Linked DNA regions of Drosophila melanogaster. The gene in region 1 interacts genetically with each later gene. Each region holds a gene or a part of one and is shown in the gene's direction. Other genes may lie near its edges.

Region 1 (5,006 bases):
GTTTTAGTTTGGGAATTGATCTAGGTACAAATTAAAAATATTTTTATTATAATACTAAAAACCATTTAATTAATAGAATATTACTTTAGTTTGTCTTAATTCAACTACAAATTTGTTCTCAGCGTATGACAGCTGAAAACAGAAAGATAAACGCGTTTCTGGCTGTCGAAACTCTTATTCCATTGCTGATAGCCTGCTCACGTGCAGTGTCTTCGGCTCGCAACACTCGCACACCCGCAACACTCGCACAGTCGCCGGCACACACACACACTGGCACACGAAGGGGAGCGATTGGATTTCCGGCGGAGATGAGAGCAAGCTACGTGGGCGGGGGGAGTGGCAGGTGGAGTCTGGGAGTGCCAGGAGCTGTATTTGGCCGCCAGCATTTTCCGATGTTGCCGCTTACTTTGTAAGTGTGCGTGTGTGTGCGTTTGTGTGTGTGTCTGGGCGGCTGACGTCATTGAGCTTTTTATTGATTTTCATTTTAACCAAAAAAAAAAAAGAAAAAACAAGAAGAAAACATACTTGGGCTAGGACGCAGGGCAGGAAGGCCAACAGATGTCATCCAAGAAAAGTCGAAATGCGCAATTAAAGAGAGAGAGAGAGAGACTGCAAAGGGGGCTTTCTCGAAGGAAGTTTTTGACAAGAATTTCTTGGGGCCAGCGAATGCTGTGTTGTAAGGTAATTACAAGGAAGAGATGCTTTACAATTTCTAAGAGTTAACTTTAGTTGATTTCAAGCTGCACGTGAATAAAAGCACTTCAAATACAAGTGAAAGCCCACAAACGTATTATGGTGTAATTTAATTTATTGTTTGCAAGCTCAACTGCGTAATCAGGCTGTTTATATAAGTGTACACATATAAACCTGATGTATTTTGATTTTTCTATTATTGTTTGTCAAACAATCGTTATGGCTGATTTTGTTATTTTTGTTGCCTGGTGAAAGCTATGGAAATTAGGTCTATTTGCACAGGCAATTAAAGACTGCCTGGTTTTGGATGAGCACAAATTTAAATTTAAGTTGAATTATAACATATTTTAAAAAAAAATTATAATTACTTAAGGCATTGGTTATCATAACAAAATATTGTGCTACATCACAAACAAAATGCATATTTGTTCGAAAGGGTGTTTTTAAAAAACTTCTACCTCTGTCATATAAATTTAATTAAAAAAAAGTATGTGATTTAATTGAAATTAAAAAAAAATTCTTTAAATTTATTTTACAACAATGATTTTAATACGTATTTATTTTAATAGAAAAATATACATATTTTTGAAAATCTACATCTACAACTAAAGCGACACCTGCCGGCGCGCCACTACAATTCAATTGTGCGGCGAATTAGAAACTTCGCTGTATTAGCCAAGGCAACCACCGGAAATAGTCATAAATTTAGCCGATTCAGCTACCATTGTACCAAAGTACGCCTTTCGTCTTCTCTAAAAACCTGCGCAGAATTAATACGCTTTCTATCTTTCGCTCTTCTACGGGATATGTCAAAGTGACAAGACCATTAAGGCAGACAATGTGAAAGCTATATAAGCGACAAGAGAGCGAAAAACAAACAGATAAAGATAAAGCCACCCCCAAAAAGCCGCCCCTTGCCGTAAAACACGGACCCCCACCAAATGGAAGACAGCCAAACAACCCCCGAAAAAGCAAGGAAAAAATTCAGGAAAAATACCTGAATGAGATTATGATGGGCCTTGAACGAAATGCAAGGGCCAGGGAAAATTGAGAATTTTATTTCAGGCGGGGGGTTAATATTAAGGAGATGCACCACCCACAACAAGCACTTAATAACAAATGTGTGCGTGTGTGTGGGCGCTCTCGCAGGACTTCCGTTCGCTCTTTTCTACGCTCTCTTGGATGCTTTTTGGATCTGCGCGCAGCAATCTCAACGAGATGGGGCGAAAATCTCTAATAAGGATGCCCGATGATGAAAAATTCATGGCCTGGCATCGCACGCATCCTGCGCTGGCTCCTGAGTAAACGAAAACACTCCGACTCAGTCACACGCAGCGAACACAGAGGCCAGCGATATATATAGTGAAAACCCCGAAAAATATAGCCAAATTGAGACCAATATCTGAAATTGTGCGATAAATAAAACGCTGCATACCCCGCAGGGCGCAGCCAACTTATTCCGAAGCCAAATCGAGAAATTCTTCGAAACGCGAGTGCCACCAAAAATTTATTGTTTCGAATTCGCAGCCAGTGATTGTATAATTTCCATTGCTTTGCTATTTTTACGGGTGTGGGCCGTCCAACGGCAGCGGCAAAGAGGATATATCTATCTACATATATCTTCCAGGATATACGGATTAACCCAATCTGCGCCAGAGATAATTACCGAAAATCGACAAATTCCCGGGCATAAAAACTTAATTGACTTGAATAAATAATTTCCAACCCGAGTTGTTGTTGTTTGTTCGCCTACGGTTTTTTTCGGTGAAAGCGAATGCGGGCCCAAAGCGGAATCGGAAAAAGTTACTGAAATACAACGGCAGGAAAAAAAAACGAATACATAGAGAAACTGCCGCTGCCGTTGCCGCCTGTGAAAGCAAAGAGAAGGGGGTGGAGAAGGAGCGTGGGCAAAAAGAGAGCGAGAGGAAGAAAGCGCGGAGGAGGTCGCGGAGTTGGAGAAAGGGGGCTCGAGGAGTAAGAGAAAGCAGCCATTACTGCGAAAGAGAGCCAGAGTCGGAAGAGAAAGTCCAAGAGACAACATCGCAATTTTGTGGAAGACATTCACAGTGGATGGAAAATTTATAAACAAAAGTTAAGCCCTTAAGAGAATGCTGACAAAATAAAAAAAAAACGCACGATAAATATATTTTAGAAATGTAACTTAAAAGAAAAGACTCATATCAACACATATCATTCTATAGTCTATAGAAAATATTAAATAACTAAATATACAACAACAAAAAAAGCTGAGACAAGCAGCTAAATAATTCCAGCAATTACCTAAAAACCAAAACGATATTTTATTGTCTTAAAAGAATAGAAACCAATGCGATAACCATACATATCATGTAAATCGTTTAATGCCAAAAGGTGAAATATGAAAAGTATATTAAATTAGCACATTTAAAAGAAATGTAATTCAAGAAATTAAAAAAATCTACGAATGGAAACGTAAACATATCATGTAAAACGCCTAAAAAGCTTGCTGAATCCCTAATCAAGCTTTTTTATCTTATCAACAAAATAAAAAACAAAACAAATGAACTAGCCTAAGGAGAGTTGTGCAAATTATCGCATACATATCAAAGCTCTTGCAAAGAGCAAATATAAATATTAAATTTACAATTATCTAAGATCTAGTTACCTTAGAAAATCCAAAAGAACAGTAATTTTTGTTAGAAGTTTTACATTAGTTGTCTCGAATATAACAAGAGAGAGATATATACATACAACAATATTGTCACATATCATTGAGGAAGCCTCAGCAAAAGTCTAAAACTATAACGACTAGAAAACATATCAATTAAATTAGACTGCGTGTTTATGAATGCTACGCGAAAATATTAATTACTTTATCAAGCGGACCAATTGCAAATGACGAGAAGACTTCATTGAATTCCAGACGACGGATTGAAAAATAACTAAAGTTCTTAAAAGGTAAGTTTTCACAATAATGAAACCATTAACTGAAAATGGTGGGCTTCTGTGGAATAAACGTAAAGGATTGTGTCATCTGAAACGATATATTAATATTAATTAGAAACAGAATATAACATTTTGCTATGATGTTTCCGTGCATTAGTCAACGGTAACGTTGTGGTGAAAATTGGCCTACACTAATTGACATTCTCTCTTTACGTCAAAGGGCTCTTAATTAGAAAATCAAATCCGAGAATGCTTTTGTGGTTTTGGCGAGCCGCCTCCCCACCAGATGTATTTCCATACGCCGAAAGCAATCATAAACTTTTAGCCCTAAGCGTGTGAGCTTAGGTAATCCACAAAACAGCCCAAAAATAAAACCGTTCGGGACCCCAACATTTTATGCGCCAATGGGTCTGGAGGGTATTCGTGTTTCGCTAAACCATAATGAGCCTGTCGAAGTGAAATTTGTTGCTGCAGCGCCTAGGATCATGCCACAAACATCTGCAAGCACCAACATACGGGACAAAATCAATAGGCGGCCATGTGTGTGTGTGCATGTGTGCGTGTGTAGGTAAACAGCTAGAAAAATCAACCGACACACACGCAAGAGGCGGTGGAAAAGCGAGTGTGTGTGGAAGGAGTGAGAGAGAGAGAGAGGGGATTTTCTCCTTCGTCTCCACGCGCGCTATTAAAATTTTCATTTTTATGATTATCGCTTGTGAAAATCCGCAACAATTGTGCCGGTTCACACGATGCAAAAGGGACTAAGCACACGACGCACAGGCAGGCAGCAGGACACCTACGATGATGAAGCCGCGAGCCAGGGAATACAGTGCGTATGCGTGTTATTTCTCCGCGACTGAGCAAATGTTTAACTTTGGGCATAAAATTAAATTTAATTTTCAATTATCGCGGCTGGCAACGGTTTGGTTTTGGCCTTGCAGGAACAACTGCACCCCACGGCGGAATAACGAAGCGATTAAAAAAAATGCTCCAACTGGCCGAGAACTGGAGTTTCAGTTGGCTCACCTTTTGGCCATTAGAGCTGTGGCCACTTTAAGGCCGCTCTCGCTGCAGCTGGCTCACTTTGGGGCATCAAAAATTCATCTTGCCGGCATCCAGAGCTCTCCATCAGCCAGCGGCCAGTAGCATCTGCTGACTTTTCGCCATTTCGCGCGCACTTTCCCATTTTCCCCGCACTCACTTTTTGCCATTTTCTTCTTGGCCTGGCCTTCCATCTCCACTGGCCAGTTCTGGCCGAATCCCCCTTGCGCTGCACACTTTCGGGCGCCAGCACCTAATGAGTGCAAAAATGAGCTTCGGGAAATGCTGAACGGCAGCAGCAACAAAGTGGCGCTGGGAACATGAAAGGACACTCTCCCAGTAGCCTT
Region 2 (6,661 bases), 4.1 Mb from region 1:
CGTCACCAGATGCCCGAAGGGCCTTCAAGTCACTCAGGTCGATCTCCTGGCCGCGGTAAAGATCATTCAGCCACGATTTGGCCGGCAGGAGGAGACTCTCCAGCTGCTCATGCCATATGAATATCTAGATCGTACCGCTTTCGATCCGAATGATCTCCTGTCCACCGGACGCCCAAGATGGTCTTGCCATCTGGTCGAAGGTAAGCCCAAGTCAGGCCTAACTACGGTGGCCGCTCAAATGGCTTTGAAAACAGACTGCCCTTTTATAAAATACATCTCGTCGGCCGAATTGCTGGGACTTAGCGATTCCGAAAAATGCCAGAGAATACGGGAAGTCTTGGAGGACGCCTATGTTTCCAGGCGCAGCTGCGTCATCATTGACGACTTTGAGCGTGTCATTGGTTACGGCGCCCTGGGTAAGCGGTACTCCAAGGAGTTCCTGCAGAAGCTGACGGTTCTTCTGAAGAAACAACCGCCCAACAGCCACGAGCTCATCATCATTTGCACAAGCAATCGTCTCGATGTCCTGGAGGAACTGGGCTTGCTATCCGTTTTCACTTCAGTTCACAATGTGCCAAATGTTTCCACGCCTAAAGAACTTATGGTCATAGTGGAAGCTTCAAAACGATTCGAGCCCGAGGAGCTACGCCAAATCGAGATCGCCATGGATGGCCGCAACGTCTCCATTGGCATCAAACGGTTGCTTGACTTGATTGCGTGGGTGAATTCCCTAAATCCCGACCGTCGAGCTGCCAAATTGCTGAAGAAATTGGGCGAAGCAATGGGATGGGTAGGGAACCATTCTAGTCCACTTGTACCTCAATACATTTAAGACGTTAGGTTAGGAAATGCAATATTGTATCTACAATTCCAGGAAAATAATTCCAAGTGATTCCAAATAATTCAGTAATGCTTTATATTTAAAAGAACCACGTAAGCATAAAAAAACCATCTAAAAAAATAATATTGCATTATTTTTTGGATGAACTTGCTTCCATTGCATTGCAATGTTCTTAAGACTAAAATGAACAGCCCGATAATGTGATTGCAAAGATACTAGATTATTATATTATATATATATTATATATACACCAGGCCAGACCTCTCAGTGGCCTTCGCCTGCTGTACGGAGAGCATTCCGTCCTCCAGGAGTTCGGTGACCGGTGGGCCCAACATCTCCTGGGCTGCTCCAAAGGCGGGCTTGATGTCGTTGTCCAATATATATATATATACATAATTATATATATAATATATATTATATATTATATATATATATTATATTGTTCTAGTGTCTTTGGTGATTGGCATAACAAGTTTTATTACCATATTATATATATATAAGTAAAAATAAAGATATTTGAATTGCAAATGCCACCCATTTTATCGTTATTTACTTAGAGGATTTGGCTTTTGATACAACACATTTTTTGGATTGTTTTCTTCACCAATCCTGGTGCTGCAGAGCTGCTTAGCAACAGCGAAGAAGTCTTGAATGCGGGGGATATATGTATTATTAGAAAATGCAAATGCGCGCCAATGAATTCAAATTTGCACTGCAGGTGCCGTAGCAGGCATCTTTTGCTCGCAATCACAGTGCATACACACACGCAATGCCGAACAGGGTTGCACTCCCTCAACGGGCTATCAGCTGTTTGAGACAATTTCGGGATTATATTATAAAATTGCTACGAAAATGTCAATTGAAAAAGCCCACCGGATGAGAGCGATCAAATGCCCAACGGATGAGCTGTCCCTGACGAACAAGGCGATTGTGAATGTGTCCGATTTCACGGAGGAGGTCAAGTGAGTGTTGGTTTTTGTTGTTTTTCCACTTCCTACGTGGGCGTACGAGCCTATGGAAACTTTCGCTTATGCTAATGACGCACCGCTTGATACCCTGCAGATATGTGGACATCTCGCCGGGCCCGGGGCTGCACTACATCTTCGCGCTGGAGAAGATCAGCGGGCCGGAGCTGCCGCTCGGCCACGTCGGATTCTCGCTGGTCCAGCGCAAGTGGGCCACGCTCTCCATCAACCAGGAAATAGACGTGCGGCCGTACCGATTCGATGCCAGCGCCGATATCATCACACTGGTCTCCTTCGAGACGGACTTCCTGCAGAAGAAGACCACCACGCAGGAGCCCTACGACTCCGACGAGATGGCCAAGGAGTTCCTCATGCAGTTCGCCGGAATGCCGCTGACCGTCGGCCAAACGCTCGTCTTTCAGGTAATGGTGTGGATGTGGCTCCCCCATAAATGTATGCAGTATAGAAAAATAGATAGCAAAGGACTGAAACTAAGGTAGTAATCTGGAGAGGATTAGTGATATATGCCAGAGCCAGTTAAAATACTACCCAATTCAATGAGGGTTCTCGGTTTATCTCGGACGCACCTATTCATTATTTCACCATTTATTGTGTGCACTTATAATAATTTTGGTTTTGTATAACTTTACAAAAAGATTTATACGTTCATAGCATAGCGGTAGTGAGAATATTCGTTATTTGTGTTATTCGATATTCGTTATTTTATATTTACTGACGTGTCTTGATTGTCATGAGATGCTGAATCTCATATTCCACATTTAGACGGTGACCTAATGCAAATATTAACAAGGTAGCTTACCTCCAACAATTAGAAACCCAAAGACACGTAACTCTCCCTTAGATCATCTTTTTGGCTCTCTGCCAAATCTTTTTTAATAATTCAGCATACAATGTCCCCCTTTTTTATGAACTAAAAATAGTGTGTTAGGCTGCCCTCATAGGAAATGCAACTATCTTAACATAGTAATTCTTCTAACATGCTCCTTAATGTACATATATCGTTCGTTTGCTAATAAGGATGTTTACCGCCTTTCAGTTCAAAGACAAGAAATTCCTGGGCCTCGCTGTAAAAACGCTGGAGGCAGTGGATCCCCGAACAGTGGGCGATTCCCTACCGAAGACTCGGAACGTACGATTCGGCCGCATCCTCGGTAACACGGTGGTGCAGTTCGAGAAGGCCGAAAACTCTGTGCTAAATCTGCAGGGTCGCTCCAAGGGTAAGATCGTGCGGCAGTCCATCATAAATCCGGACTGGGACTTTGGCAAGATGGGCATTGGTGGCCTAGACAAAGAGTTCAATGCGATTTTCCGACGCGCCTTCGCCTCTCGTGTTTTTCCGCCGGAACTTGTCGAACAACTGGGCATCAAGCACGTTAAGGGTATTCTGTTGTACGGACCACCAGGCACGGGAAAAACCCTGATGGCCCGGCAAATAGGTACCATGCTGAATGCCCGCGAACCCAAGATCGTGAATGGACCGCAGATCCTGGACAAGTACGTGGGTGAATCAGAAGCCAATATCCGGCGACTGTTTGCCGAGGCCGAGGAGGAGGAAAAGCGCTTGGGACCGAACAGTGGACTGCACATCATCATCTTCGACGAGATCGACGCCATTTGCAAGGCTCGCGGATCCGTGGCCGGTAATAGTGGTGTCCACGACACGGTCGTCAATCAACTGCTAGCCAAGATCGACGGCGTGGAGCAGTTGAACAACATCCTGGTAATAGGAATGACCAACCGGCGGGACATGATCGATGAGGCCCTGCTGCGACCTGGACGCTTGGAAGTGCAAATGGAGATCAGCTTGCCCAACGAGCAGGGTCGCGTCCAGATCCTGAATATCCACACCAAGCGGATGCGTGACTTTAACAAGATAGCTAGCGATGTGGACAACAATGAGATCGCGGCCAAGACAAAGAACTTCAGTGGCGCAGAGTTGGAGGGTCTGGTTAGAGCGGCCCAATCCACGGCCATGAATCGGTTAATAAAGGCGGACTCCAAGGTATATGATGCACAGCATGGCGTGAAAGCAAAGAAAGGGGGTTCTCTTAATTCACATTCGGATCGAAATGTTATTTTATTTATTTGGCGTATTCGCTTATTTCATTTATCTCTCGGTTTGCGTTTCGGGTTTCGTTTAATTTCGAGTAATTTGGTTTCGATAAACCAAGAAAGCGATTAACGTTCGACTGTTCCACTATTCTAAAATTACCATCATCATTTGCTTTTCTACGATCCAAGGTTCACGTGGACCCGGAGGCTATGGAAAAACTGCGTGTTACGCGAGCCGACTTTCTGCACGCATTGGACAACGACATCAAGCCCGCCTTTGGAGCAGCCCAGGAGATGCTGGAAAATCTGCTGGCACGCGGAATTATAAACTGGGGCCCACCGGTCACCGAACTCCTGGAGGACGGAATGCTCTCCGTACAGCAGGCGAAGGCCACTGAGAGCTCTGGCCTGGTGTCTGTTCTCATCGAAGGAGCTCCCAACTCCGGCAAATCAGCGCTGGCCGCTAATCTGGCCCAGTTGAGTGATTTCCCATTCGTTAAGGTCTGCTCCCCGGAAGATATGGTAGGATTTACGGAGTCAGCCAAGTGCCTGCACATCCGCAAGATCTTCGACGACGCCTATCGCTCCACATTGAGCTGCATTGTGGTGGACAATGTGGAGCGATTGCTAGACTACGGTCCAATTGGACCCAGGTACTCTAATCTCACGCTGCAGGCGCTATTGGTTCTACTGAAAAAGCAACCGCCAAAGGGTAGAAAACTGCTGATCCTGTGCACTTCCAGCCGGCGGGACGTTCTCGAGGAGATGGAAATGCTCTCGGCTTTCACGTCCGTCCTGCATGTGTCCAATCTCTCAACTCCCGAGAACGTGCTTGCCGTGCTGGATGATTCTGATTTGTTTAGTCCCGAGGAGCTGCAGAGCATTGCCAGGAAAATGGCGGGTAAGCGATTGTGTATCGGCATCAAGAAGCTGCTGGCTCTCATCGATATGATCCGGCAATCGGAGCCTCACCAGCGGGTTATCAAGTTCCTCAGCAAAATGGAGGAGGAGGGCGGTCTGGAAATGGATAGGGTGCAAGGGCACTAGCTACGCCTTTAAATTAATTTACATTCCATTATCAAACAGCAGAGTGGTTCGATTTGATTGATTCAAACTGGAAAAACGGTTATGTGTTTACAATTAAAAATATATATATATGTATTAAAACAAAAAACCGTTACAAAAATACTTATAACCTTTTGGGAAAAAAGTACAACGTAATATAATATAATAATATATTCCCATATTTCAAAATATCTTACTTGCAGAGTGGGTTTCTATAAAATTCTATACTTTCGTGAAACTTTGAAATTAGTTGCCTTCAAGCCTAATACACAGAACCGGTGACCACTTTTATTGTTTATTAGGAAGTGTATAATTTTATAAACTCATATTCTGCAAATCGAAGAAATCGACCCACCCTAGTGCAATTTTATGATTGTGTTTTTTTTCCCGCTATCAAAAGGGAATCACAATGATAGGTTTCAGCTGCAATATAATATTCTAACGCTATACTTCGCTTAAGTTCCACTAAAAAAAAAAAAATATAATAAAGCGTAACTGAAGACCAACTTGTGAGATAAAGTCAAGTAATTTGTAAGTTTTGAATTTGATGATACCAACGAACTTAAAGTACTCGCATTAGCGACTAAGGATAATCCGTCGGTGTCCACCATGAAAATCTCAGTTTGAGTGCACAGACTTACATAGAGAATTTGATACCAACATGATGTATTTTATAAGGATTTTACGGATATTGCATTTACCATGATAAATAAAAAAGACAAAAATCCGATGATGCAGCCCTAATAGATTGATCTTTTAAATCAAAATTGAATTAAGATGCTTAAGCGTTATACCGATACTTAAGAACTATAATTCTGAAAGTTATTTTACAGAGCGCACAGTTTTGAATACGTGTGATTTTTATTTACATGACTTTTTACCAAAAACGAAAACAAATCATTTTTGTTATATTTTTCTTTACATCCATAAGTGAGATCACTTTGGGTTTGAAAACTAGCTAAAGAAGGTGCATGTCTTAGCTACAATTTCTGAATTTCGATCGAAGCTTTTCGAAAAACACGAAATATATGTGAATCATTTGTAAATGGATATGTCTTTTATGGATAAACTTGATGTGTACCAACGGGATAACAAACTAATTTATGTAATTTACCCAATAGCTAAAAATAAATGGAGTTTTCCCAAAGACTATGGTCTTTTTAATAAGAACGGCTGAAACGATCTTTAGTCAAAAATATATATAATGCAAATTGATTGATTGCCTTTTCTTTTCGTTCCAGGACACATTAGTTCCCTTGGTAGTTTCGGAGTGTAGCAGCTTGAATTCTTTGAAAACTCCTATTTATTTAAATATTGTTTTTTCTCGGCGATCGCCGCCCGACAGCTGTCCGCTTGGAAGGCGTCAAGTGGTTATCATACCATGTACTCACCCGATCCGATCCGATCAGTCCGATCCATCGATCAGCTGTTCGCGACAAGATCCGACGCCGGAACCCAATCAGAGCAGTGGTCAGCTTGGCCGAGGTGCTGACCACAGCCAGTCGGTCGGCGTAATATGCAATTTGAATAAATGATTTATAATGAAAACACCTTAGCGGCGCGTCGTCTGCGTATACGTAATGTGGAGCGGAGTGGAGTGCCACACTGCTCGGTAATTGATATATGGCGCTAATTGCGCTCGACGCCCATTTGTGGTCCAGTCCAGCTTTATCAGCGGCAGTCGTCTGAGGAATCCTGGGTAGCCATAGCCATAGCC
Region 3 (4,928 bases), about 11 Mb from region 1:
TTTCTTTGCTCGGTTTGGTGGTCTGGGCCCGAAACTCTGGTGCTGCTCTAAGTGCTCCATTGCGAAATTCTATGCTTCTAATCGCTGAAAATGTTGGAAAATGTTGGAAAATGCTGTCCGCACTGCAACATGTTCCGCAGTTTGTTTACTTTGCGCCTGTTCGCTGCATTTTTCAGCGCGTTTTAATGTTTTAATTGACAGGCAGCCGCCGTTGGCGTTGATTTCGCTGAATTGAGTTGGCTCCGGTTGGGTTTTTCCTTTTTCTGATTTCTCAGTTGTGATTTTTTTCTGGCAGTTCGCTTTTCCCCCTTTGATACCGCTGCGTTTCGCATTTCACAGCTTCAGTCGGCGGTTTCCTTTCTGGGATCCGCCAACGCCATTCCTTCGTGGAATATGGTTTTCCACCACCTCATTTTCACTTTAGTTTTTGGCAAGGGGGATAATTGCAACAGCTGCTGTCAGTTGGAATACAAATGGAATAATTAAGTCAGTTCTTTAACTTTAAGCATTTGCTTAAATTTTCATTTATAAATTGTTCGGAATGTTTTAAAATAGTGTTTATACTCATTAAGAGAAATAATTATGCGAAATAATTATCAATTAAACTATAACAAATGGCACACAACACAGCTATGTGTTTTATAATTCCTATTTTCGCAGCATATTTTATAGCTAGAATGGTAACTAAATAAAAAATATAAATAAAGTGCCCAATTATTTCTGCTCACTTTAATTATCTTTTTTTTTTTTTTTTGTTATTCACAAGCACTGCAAACAGCATACCGAATGGCACACAAATTCTAATTTAATAAATGCGCAAATGACCAACAACACTTCGGGCCAAAACACACTTTTAAGTGCTAGTGTGTGTATCTACACGCACTCACACTTTGGGCCAAGTCAATACCAAACTTGTTTCATTAATTAAAATGTTCGGTTAATTATTCAAATTGCACGTGCCAGCGTCAGCAACTTTTGCGCACAAAACTAAATTGTTTGCTTTTGGCAATGTGTTTGTGCTGAAACGTGATAAATAATACTCTAGATTGCTGAACTTTACAATTGGACATTGGCGCTTATTTGCATTTCAAGTTGGCCGCACTGCAAAGGTCAGTTAACCCGGTGGCTTTGCTTTAACCGAAGGATCAGCGGGCCGAAAGGACATATCATCCATTATGGATGCGGCGAATGCGAATTTTCAACTCCCTGCACTGGGCAGCAGCATACCGAAATTTTCGGCCATTGAAAATGACATTTGCGCCACATCACACCAGGTCTTGTTACGCTACACAGAGAAAAATATACTAAAAATATTATAGAATTTCATTTTATTATGAATTAATCTATTCATATTTGTTTGATATTTTTGATTTTTTTTATATATAAAATACACTATTTACAAAACTTTAACGCATCAAGTCATGCCATTATCATAGAGTTTAAAAATATAAGTAAGCTAAATATTTTATCAATTAATATCTATATATAATATATATATAATATGCAAGCTGGTAATGTGTTTCTTTCAGTGCATCCATCCTCCGGCCAATGCATGCGAAATTTACTTCAACCTAAAGTACGAAAAAAGTGGGCAAACGAAGGAAAACTGCCAGCCGCCTTAAACCGATGTGCCATGTAAATAGTGGAGCTTGTGGGCTCAGAGGGGGGGATGGAGCGGTGGCCCGAGGAGGGGTCGAAAAATCCACTTCATCGGCGACGGTTGGCGCGGAAAAGTGTGTCACCTGCAGGCGGGAAATGCGCAGGTCCTGTGAGAGGAAAAGCGGCTGCCGCCTGATGGTGACTTTTCCTCGCAGACTTTTCACCAACGCCACATTCGCATTTTCCACCAAGGCTGTGGGAAATTCGGCTCAGAACGTGGTCAGACGTCGAAGCGCGTGGTCGTCGAGTTTTCCGAGAAAATCCAGTGGGAAAGCAAACAGTGCGAGGCAGCAGCAGCAGCAGCAACAACAACTATCTAGAGCAAAGGAAATTGTGAGCAATTTGTATTTTAGTAGTATATTTCTTACGCGCGTGAGTGTGTGTGTGTGTGTGAGTCAGTGAATGAGTGTGTAAGTGTGTGAATGTGGTGATGAACCGAACAGCGTGCAACAAGAATAAAAAACGAATGCCCAAAAGTGCCAAACACAAACAACAACAAAAAAAACGAGATGAAAACAGAATATACATAAATGGCAAGCAAATATTTTTCTTCTTGAGCAGGGCAAAGAAAATCACAAACTGCAGCGTATCCATGCCCTCAAACCAAAAAAAAAAGAAAAACAAAAAAATAAAACGAAGAAAACAGTGAAAAGCAATCAAAGTAATAAACGAAAAGGGGGGAATGGCGAACCGAACTGAAAGCAAATCAAAAAAATCAATGCCCTTTCTGCGGAATTATACGTTGCGTATACGTGATATGTACCGAGGTAGCCAAGTCAAATAATAATAAAGGAAATTCTCACGTGACGCATAAAAAAGCCAAGCTCGCACACACACACAGCGATGGCAACAGTAACACGGCATGCCCCTCAAACATACGCACACAGCGGTAAACTTACTACCTGGGACACAAATTGAAGTTGGCGAAACATATTTGCGCAGCAAAGTTGCTACACGCAGCGAAAACTCGCTGCAGTAGTTTCAAATTGTGGGGGGAAACTGTGATAAACACAATTCATAACCAGAAAAGAGTTGAACTAATCAGAAATCTATAAAAGATCTTAAAGTTATGGCTATTTAAAAGCAATGTGGTGCCTAAAGTTGTGGTAGTGCCTAAAAGTAGGCAATGGAATTTGTCATTCGTGAAATGTGACTTGCTGCGTATGTATATAAGTATGATTTGTGTGAAATATCATCATAGCACTGATGAAATTCAAACATTTTCTCATCTTTTCTTGCAAAAGTGTCCCACTTTTCTCCGCCTGCATTTGGAAGGCACATGATTATGATGAGCTTGCCTCGCAAACTTGTTTCTTTTTTGAGGCTCGTGGCTCGAAAATGACAACAGCTGGATGGCCGAGTGGGTGGGTGGCGGAAGATTGCCTTTTGCCGCATTTGTTGCCGCTATTTTGCATACATTGAATTTAATGAACTGCCTGTGTGCGGTGTGTTGGATTTGCTTTTAATAATTTAGGCTGCGCGCGAACTAAATGGCGCTTTTAAAGTACGAACCGTCAGGCGACCCCAATATGGGCGACAAACGGGCGAGATGAGGCACAAATGAAAATATGAAAAAGGGCAGGGAAAACACGAACCATTTAATGCCCCTTCGCACCCTCGTTGCGCCTGTATGGATACGCTGTGAGCTGGTGTGTGTGTGCAACCCCAAGTCGGAAGGGCAGACATACTAACACACTTCAGCCGGAGGACTACGTCATCCTGGCCCAGAAGCTTTGGGGCCAGCAGCCCCCCCCGACAAAGCCAAGCCAAACCACTGCGAACCGAACCCAACCAAACCAAAGCGAACTTCGCTGGGAGCACAACTTTCCCTCGACGTCGCCACATTTTCGCATTCACAATCACATCGCGTGGCATATCCATAGGCGTAAGGATACGGCATAGGCACATGGTCTGGCCTCCACTCACACCATCACACTCGCCTTGCCACACATATACACACAGAGTTTGGCGAATGTGCACATGCACAGTATAGGTGAAGTTATAAGGACTCGAGTTGCGCTGCTCCTCCTTCGGATCGATTCCGGCTAACACAGACTTTGCGGCAGTTGCCGTTGCAAACACTTGAAGAAAAAGGGTGTAACTGTGATCACGAACAAGTCAGCTGCATTTAAAGAATCTTTCAGACTTGGAAGAAGTTAAAACCCTTGATTAGATTGAGATACATTTGCAAAGCTCAGAAGAAAGTAGTGGATAGTTATCTTCTATCTATTTAAAAACCTTTACTTGGTTACATTTTCCGATATTCTGTTTCTATATCATTCGCTTTAGGATCACCTTTCTTTCAGTGAACTAACTCCAATTGCAGTGGCAGTTACTTCGCTACTAGCTGCACGACAATCTGCATGCGGCATGACATCGCGCAGCCGAAGGATCTCGAGGATATATGTGGCTGGCAGGGGGGCGTTGCCGATGGAGACGTCATCAATTTCCATCCAGCCTATAAATACAACTAAAGTATATATGCCACAATGTGATGCCTTTGCGCCGGCGGCAAGTGTTGCAGTAAATTTCGAGGAGATCCGACTGCCGGCATGACCCTTGACCTTCGACTTGCACCATGTGGCATGCCCGTTTATGCTTCGATTTGCCGCCCTATACGCCATATCCACCCCACAGCCCCACGCCACCGCTCAGGCAAATGCAAAATCATTTGCCATCGAAATCGCATGTCGACCGGCAGAAATAAAACTGAAAAAAAAAGAAGTAGAAAGAGCAGACATGCCGTATAGCAAACCGAAAACCCAACCAGAAATCCTTGTCGCACAGTTTGCGTTTATAATTTATATACGACGTTCCCCGTACGAGGAGGCTTCTCTTGTTTTAGTTGCGCATTCGTCCTTGTCCCGGCCAAGTATCCGTATCCAAGGCGGACTCTCAATCGAAATCCGCATGGAGGAGGCCTTTAAGTGCGCCCGCTGGCATTTGGTGCTCCTCCCGTTTAGGCCGACAAGCTGCCCGCTTTATGGCTATTAAAAAATGCATTTAAATACACACCACGGCCTGCCATTTACCATATAAGCCATATACCATATAATCTTCGATGCGGCCTGCGTCTGTCTCCGGTTTTCGCTTCTCGGGCCTCTTCAGCTCCTCCTCAGCTCGAGTATGAGCTCCTTTGGGGCGTTGTTGAAAATTGAAATTGCGCGCTTATTTATGGAGCTCTGGCGGGGACGCTGGCGTTGATTGCCGTAACGCCCCATTGCCTGGTACATGACTATAATAATGATTGCCATTTTTATAGGCCAGCC
Region 4 (4,167 bases), about 11 Mb from region 1:
GTTTTTAGTGCCCAACTAGAATTGGGTTAGACAAAGCGACGATTGAGGCGGAATTCTTTAACAGGTTGTTTTGCGATTTATAGTTCAATTCACAAAAGGTCACTTAGTGAACTGATTTTTTGTCCTTAAAATCATATTGGTCATCTTATGTGTAGGCCAGCTTTTCAGAATTTGAATATCTAGTTTTATCCCACATACTGGTGGGTGTTAATATTTCTATTTCTATGTGGATATTTTAAGAGTGTTCCCTAGTAGCTAAATGATATACATCTGAGACTTTTAATTAATTAATTGCTGATTTCATGGTTTTAGTACAGAAAACCATGTGCTAAGATGTTTTTAAGCAACATCCTGAATCTATAACAATTGCGTTAAACTTTTTCATTCTGTTAAGAAGCTTTAAAGTTGAAATATTTTGAGCTCGATGCAACCAAATAATTCCTTAAATTTTGGAGGCACCGGATAAAAACATTTTGATCAACTTTTGTGTGTGAAAAATTAATTATCACCACGTGGCAACACTGTCAACGTGCTTTGATGCCATTTTTTCCCACTCGTTTTTGCCCAGAACTCCCCTCTTTTTTGTATGTTTTGTGGATGTCCAAACATTTTTTATGCTGTTTTGTTGTGTTTCTGTACTTTTTTTTTTTGCTTTTTGGAATACGCAACGGACAGACACACACATAGGGCCACACACGTATTTGAACACACACAGTCAGAGGCGAATCAGAAAAAGTACAAAAAAGCATTTTGGGAAAAGTGGAGTGAGGAGTGAGGCAGGGGATTGCATGGGCTTATTGCGATGCGTGACTCGTATTTGTGGACTTTGAATACAAACAAAACAGTCGGACACAGATAGAAGCCCACACAAGTGCAATTATGAATACTACGCCCACACACACGCCGCATAATCACAGAGAGAGACACTCTCACTCACTGCAATGTGTGCATTTCAATACGCATTAATAACTACGAATTCAATGTGGCAGTGGCAACCATCCTTAGTATTTCAGCCCAAAGCTCACACACACCTAAACCCACACCCTCAAATGCTCACGCACACATAGGCACACCGGCGTCAATGCAGCTGACGCCTAAAAAACGACTACAAAAAAGCATAAAAATCCAATTCCCCGCCTTGCTCGTTAATTTTGCTGGCGCTGCTCTTCAATTCACAGCCCAAAACTGAAAAGTGCCATGATAATTTTGTTTTTACTCTATCCAAACTTTAAAATCGCATAAAAATCAATGCCAATGATGCCATTAAATCAACAGACAGATCCATGTTTCGTTTTCCACAAAAGTTCCAAGCTCGAAGTCCCTTTAAATTCTAATTTTTGTGTTTTTTTAGCAGCACGTTTACTCAACATTTTCGCTTTCTGACGTTCCGGCCTCACATGAACTGCAGCATTTTTTCGTGCTACATTTTTGCTGGTTGCATTCTATGTCTGGTGGCCGCAAAACGGTTTTCCATGAATTTTTCATCCATTTAGCGGCGCCATTGAGCCATTTTCTGGGCGCTTAGAATTCATAGATACTTTAGCAAATTGTTTTTTTAGTTCGATTTTCTACATTCTTTTTGTTTTTAGGGATTTTTAGCTTTTGTATCGTGACATTGAATCTCGGTGTGATTGATTGTCTTTAACGATTTAATTGAATCGAAAATATAAAAAGATCACCACTGACTTGTTTATATGAAGAAGACAGGGCAAATATCTGTTATTGTTAGGCACAAAAAATGTTTATAATAATTTGATTCACTTTTTTTTTGTATTGAAAACAGCATTTTTGATATTTCTTAGTAACACCTTAGTCGCCCATTAAATTTCTGCGGAGCACCCTAGATGTGTGTATGAATTATCCAGAAATATTTACAAATGTACGACCCACAGTAGGCACTCTCTATGGGTGATCGAATTTTTGTGCTGCCAGAACTATTTAAGCTATCAGCTTTCACCCGATTCCAAATAAACCGTAAGAGTAAATAAACATTTCGGTCGAGTATTCGGAGAAGCGAGCCGATAACTTCTGCGTAGCTGACTCAAGCCGAAGTGGCCTCTCTTCGGAAATTGCCAACTGACCAGAACAGCTGAATCAATTCGCCAACTTTATGATTAGTGGCTCTGGGAGTCGGACGCCCTCAAATCGACTTTATTTGTCGCCCGTTCGCCCCACGATGCAGAACAAACGGAGGCTTCTGCGGGAGTACAGGTCCTACGATGACCTCAGCGAGCACTACCGCATGTTTGGATCGCAGTCCCTGGACTCGCTGCAGGATCGCGTGGACATGAATCCCAGTGGCTGCGATGGCTTATCCACGGACGGACTCGACTTCTGCTCGCAGTCCCACTCGGGGCTGCTGAGGGAGCACAATTTCAAGATTAAGTCCTACTACTACAACGTGGGGAACTGCGTACACTGCCGCAAAAGGTGAGTTGCAATCACCGAATGGTGGAACTTCTGAGAGGATTTCGAATTCAGGGAAAACATGAAAAGTTAAATAACATCCCAACCCTCTCTGACCAGCATTTACCTCCCTAACCGCGTGTCCCTGGTCTTCTTCCAGGATCCGCTTCGCCATGGCCAGCCTGAGGTGTCGGGCGTGTCCGCTCCGCTGCCACATCGGTTGCTGCCGCCAGCTGACGGTGAACTGCATCCCCCAGCCTCAAATCGGTACGAAGAGAGGATGTCTCAGCGATTATGCGCCTCGGGTGGCGCCCATGGTGCCGGCCTTAATTGTCCATTGTGTAACGGAGATCGAGGCGCGGGGATTGCAGCAGGAGGGACTCTACCGGGTGTCCTCCACCCGAGAGAAATGCAAACGACTGCGTCGGAAGCTGCTGCGTGGCAAGTCCACGCCGCATTTGGGCAATAAAGACACCCACACACTGTGCTGTTGTGTTAAGGACTTTCTTCGGCAGTTGGTTCACCCTCTGATTCCCATTTACCACCGAAGGGATTTCGAGGAGGCCACGCGGCACGAAGATCGTCTGGCTGTGGAGATGGCGGTATATTTAGCGGTTCTGGAGCTGCATCAGGCTCACAGGGATACGTTGGCCTACTTAATGCTTCACTGGCAGAAAATTGCCGAAAGTCCTGCTGTCCGCATGACGGTCAACAATCTTGCCGTGATCTTCGCTCCAACTCTGTTCGGAGATCTGGATCTAACCCTCGAAAATGTCGTCACTTGGCAGCGGGTGCTGAAGGTGCTACTTCTGATGCCTGCCGGATTTTGGTCTCAGTTCTTGGAGGTCCATCCCCTTCCCACTTCGTTGGGCAGCACCTATGACTTTGAGGACCGGTACAATCACCGTCACTGGGACAGCTCGTCCAATCTGGGATGGTCTTCTGTTAAGACCTACTTTAGATCAATGGTAAGACCTATGGTTTCCCTTTAACGGATTTGGATAGAATTTCATATTCGAATAAGCCAAACTCAATACAAGCAATCAAACATATCATACAAATCTTTCACTGAATACTTCCTGTTTCAGGTCAACCTTAGCAGTACTCACCTATAGTGAAAGTCTTATGACTGAGACATCGAGAATGGATGCAGTCACCCTTTTTTATTTTATTTTGTATTTTTTTTCATTATTCACTACAGTTGAAGAACTAATAATAATTGGATCTCTAACATGTTGTGTATGTGTTGTTGAATTATATGCGGCTAACAAGAGTACTTGACATCTCAAGTGCAATACTTGATTTATTGAATCACCAAAAGATACTCTCAGAAAACACCCATTATTTCCATATATGAAATTCGGCTAATTAAATATAAAGCCAGGCCAAAATCTTATTCGCACCACATAAATAATCTAGCATGGCCCAGAGCGACGTTATCGCAAAACTATATATTTCGAGTATTGAAACATTAATAAACATTTTTAATTGAATTTGCAATTTTTTTCGCCGAACGTTGATTAATTCCCAACCGTTGAAAACATGTAAAAAATTAATAATTTCCATTTCCCATATTTATGTTTCTTTGAAGCGTAAACCAAAGCACAAAGTAAAATATTTTGCCGCGAACACATATAAATAAGTTAAAGCGCCAAGAAAAAAGTTAGCATTTTAAAAACAATTTGGAGAGTGCCGTGCAAAAAAGTGCGGCCATTAAATGCAAAAAACAAGCAAAGCAAAACAAAACTCGAATGCACTGGA

Evidence for each region.
Region 2: of cpo (region 1) and Nsf2, changing one suppresses a phenotype caused by changing the other (phenotypic suppression), as found in Drosophila melanogaster (one study listed by BioGRID).
Region 3: of cpo (region 1) and jus, changing one enhances a phenotype caused by changing the other (phenotypic enhancement), as found in Drosophila melanogaster (2 studies listed by BioGRID).
Region 4: of cpo (region 1) and RacGAP84C, changing one enhances a phenotype caused by changing the other (phenotypic enhancement), as found in Drosophila melanogaster (one study listed by BioGRID).

The regions. Positions count from the first base shown.
Region 1 is NT_033777.3:17,917,840-17,922,845, forward strand, and holds the start of cpo (couch potato), read left to right. Parts: upstream 1-1,992; 5' UTR 1,993-3,630; intron 3,631-5,006. UniProt on the Drosophila melanogaster protein: May play a role in the development or function of the peripheral nervous system by regulating the processing of nervous system-specific transcripts.
Region 2 is NT_033777.3:13,832,945-13,839,605, reverse strand, and holds Nsf2 (N-ethylmaleimide-sensitive factor 2), read left to right. Parts: upstream 1-1,614; 5' UTR 1,615-1,693; coding exon 1,694-1,803; intron 1,804-1,903; coding exon 1,904-2,228; intron 2,229-2,863; coding exon 2,864-3,829; intron 3,830-4,068; coding exon 4,069-4,926; 3' UTR 4,927-6,109; downstream 6,110-6,661. Other genes in the region: CG31495 (uncharacterized protein), read left to right, coding at 1-832. UniProt on the Drosophila melanogaster protein: Required for vesicle-mediated transport. Catalyzes the fusion of transport vesicles within the Golgi cisternae. Is also required for transport from the endoplasmic reticulum to the Golgi stack.
Region 3 is NT_033777.3:29,191,952-29,196,879, reverse strand, and holds the start of jus (julius seizure), read left to right. Parts: upstream 1-1,886; 5' UTR 1,887-1,992; intron 1,993-4,928.
Region 4 is NT_033777.3:7,283,995-7,288,161, forward strand, and holds RacGAP84C (Rac GTPase activating protein at 84C), read left to right. Parts: upstream 1-1,967; 5' UTR 1,968-2,110; coding exon 2,111-2,430; intron 2,431-2,566; coding exon 2,567-3,374; coding exon of another isoform or gene 3,375-3,398; exon of another isoform or gene 3,399-3,457; intron 3,458-3,494; coding exon 3,495-3,521; 3' UTR 3,522-3,635; downstream 3,636-4,167.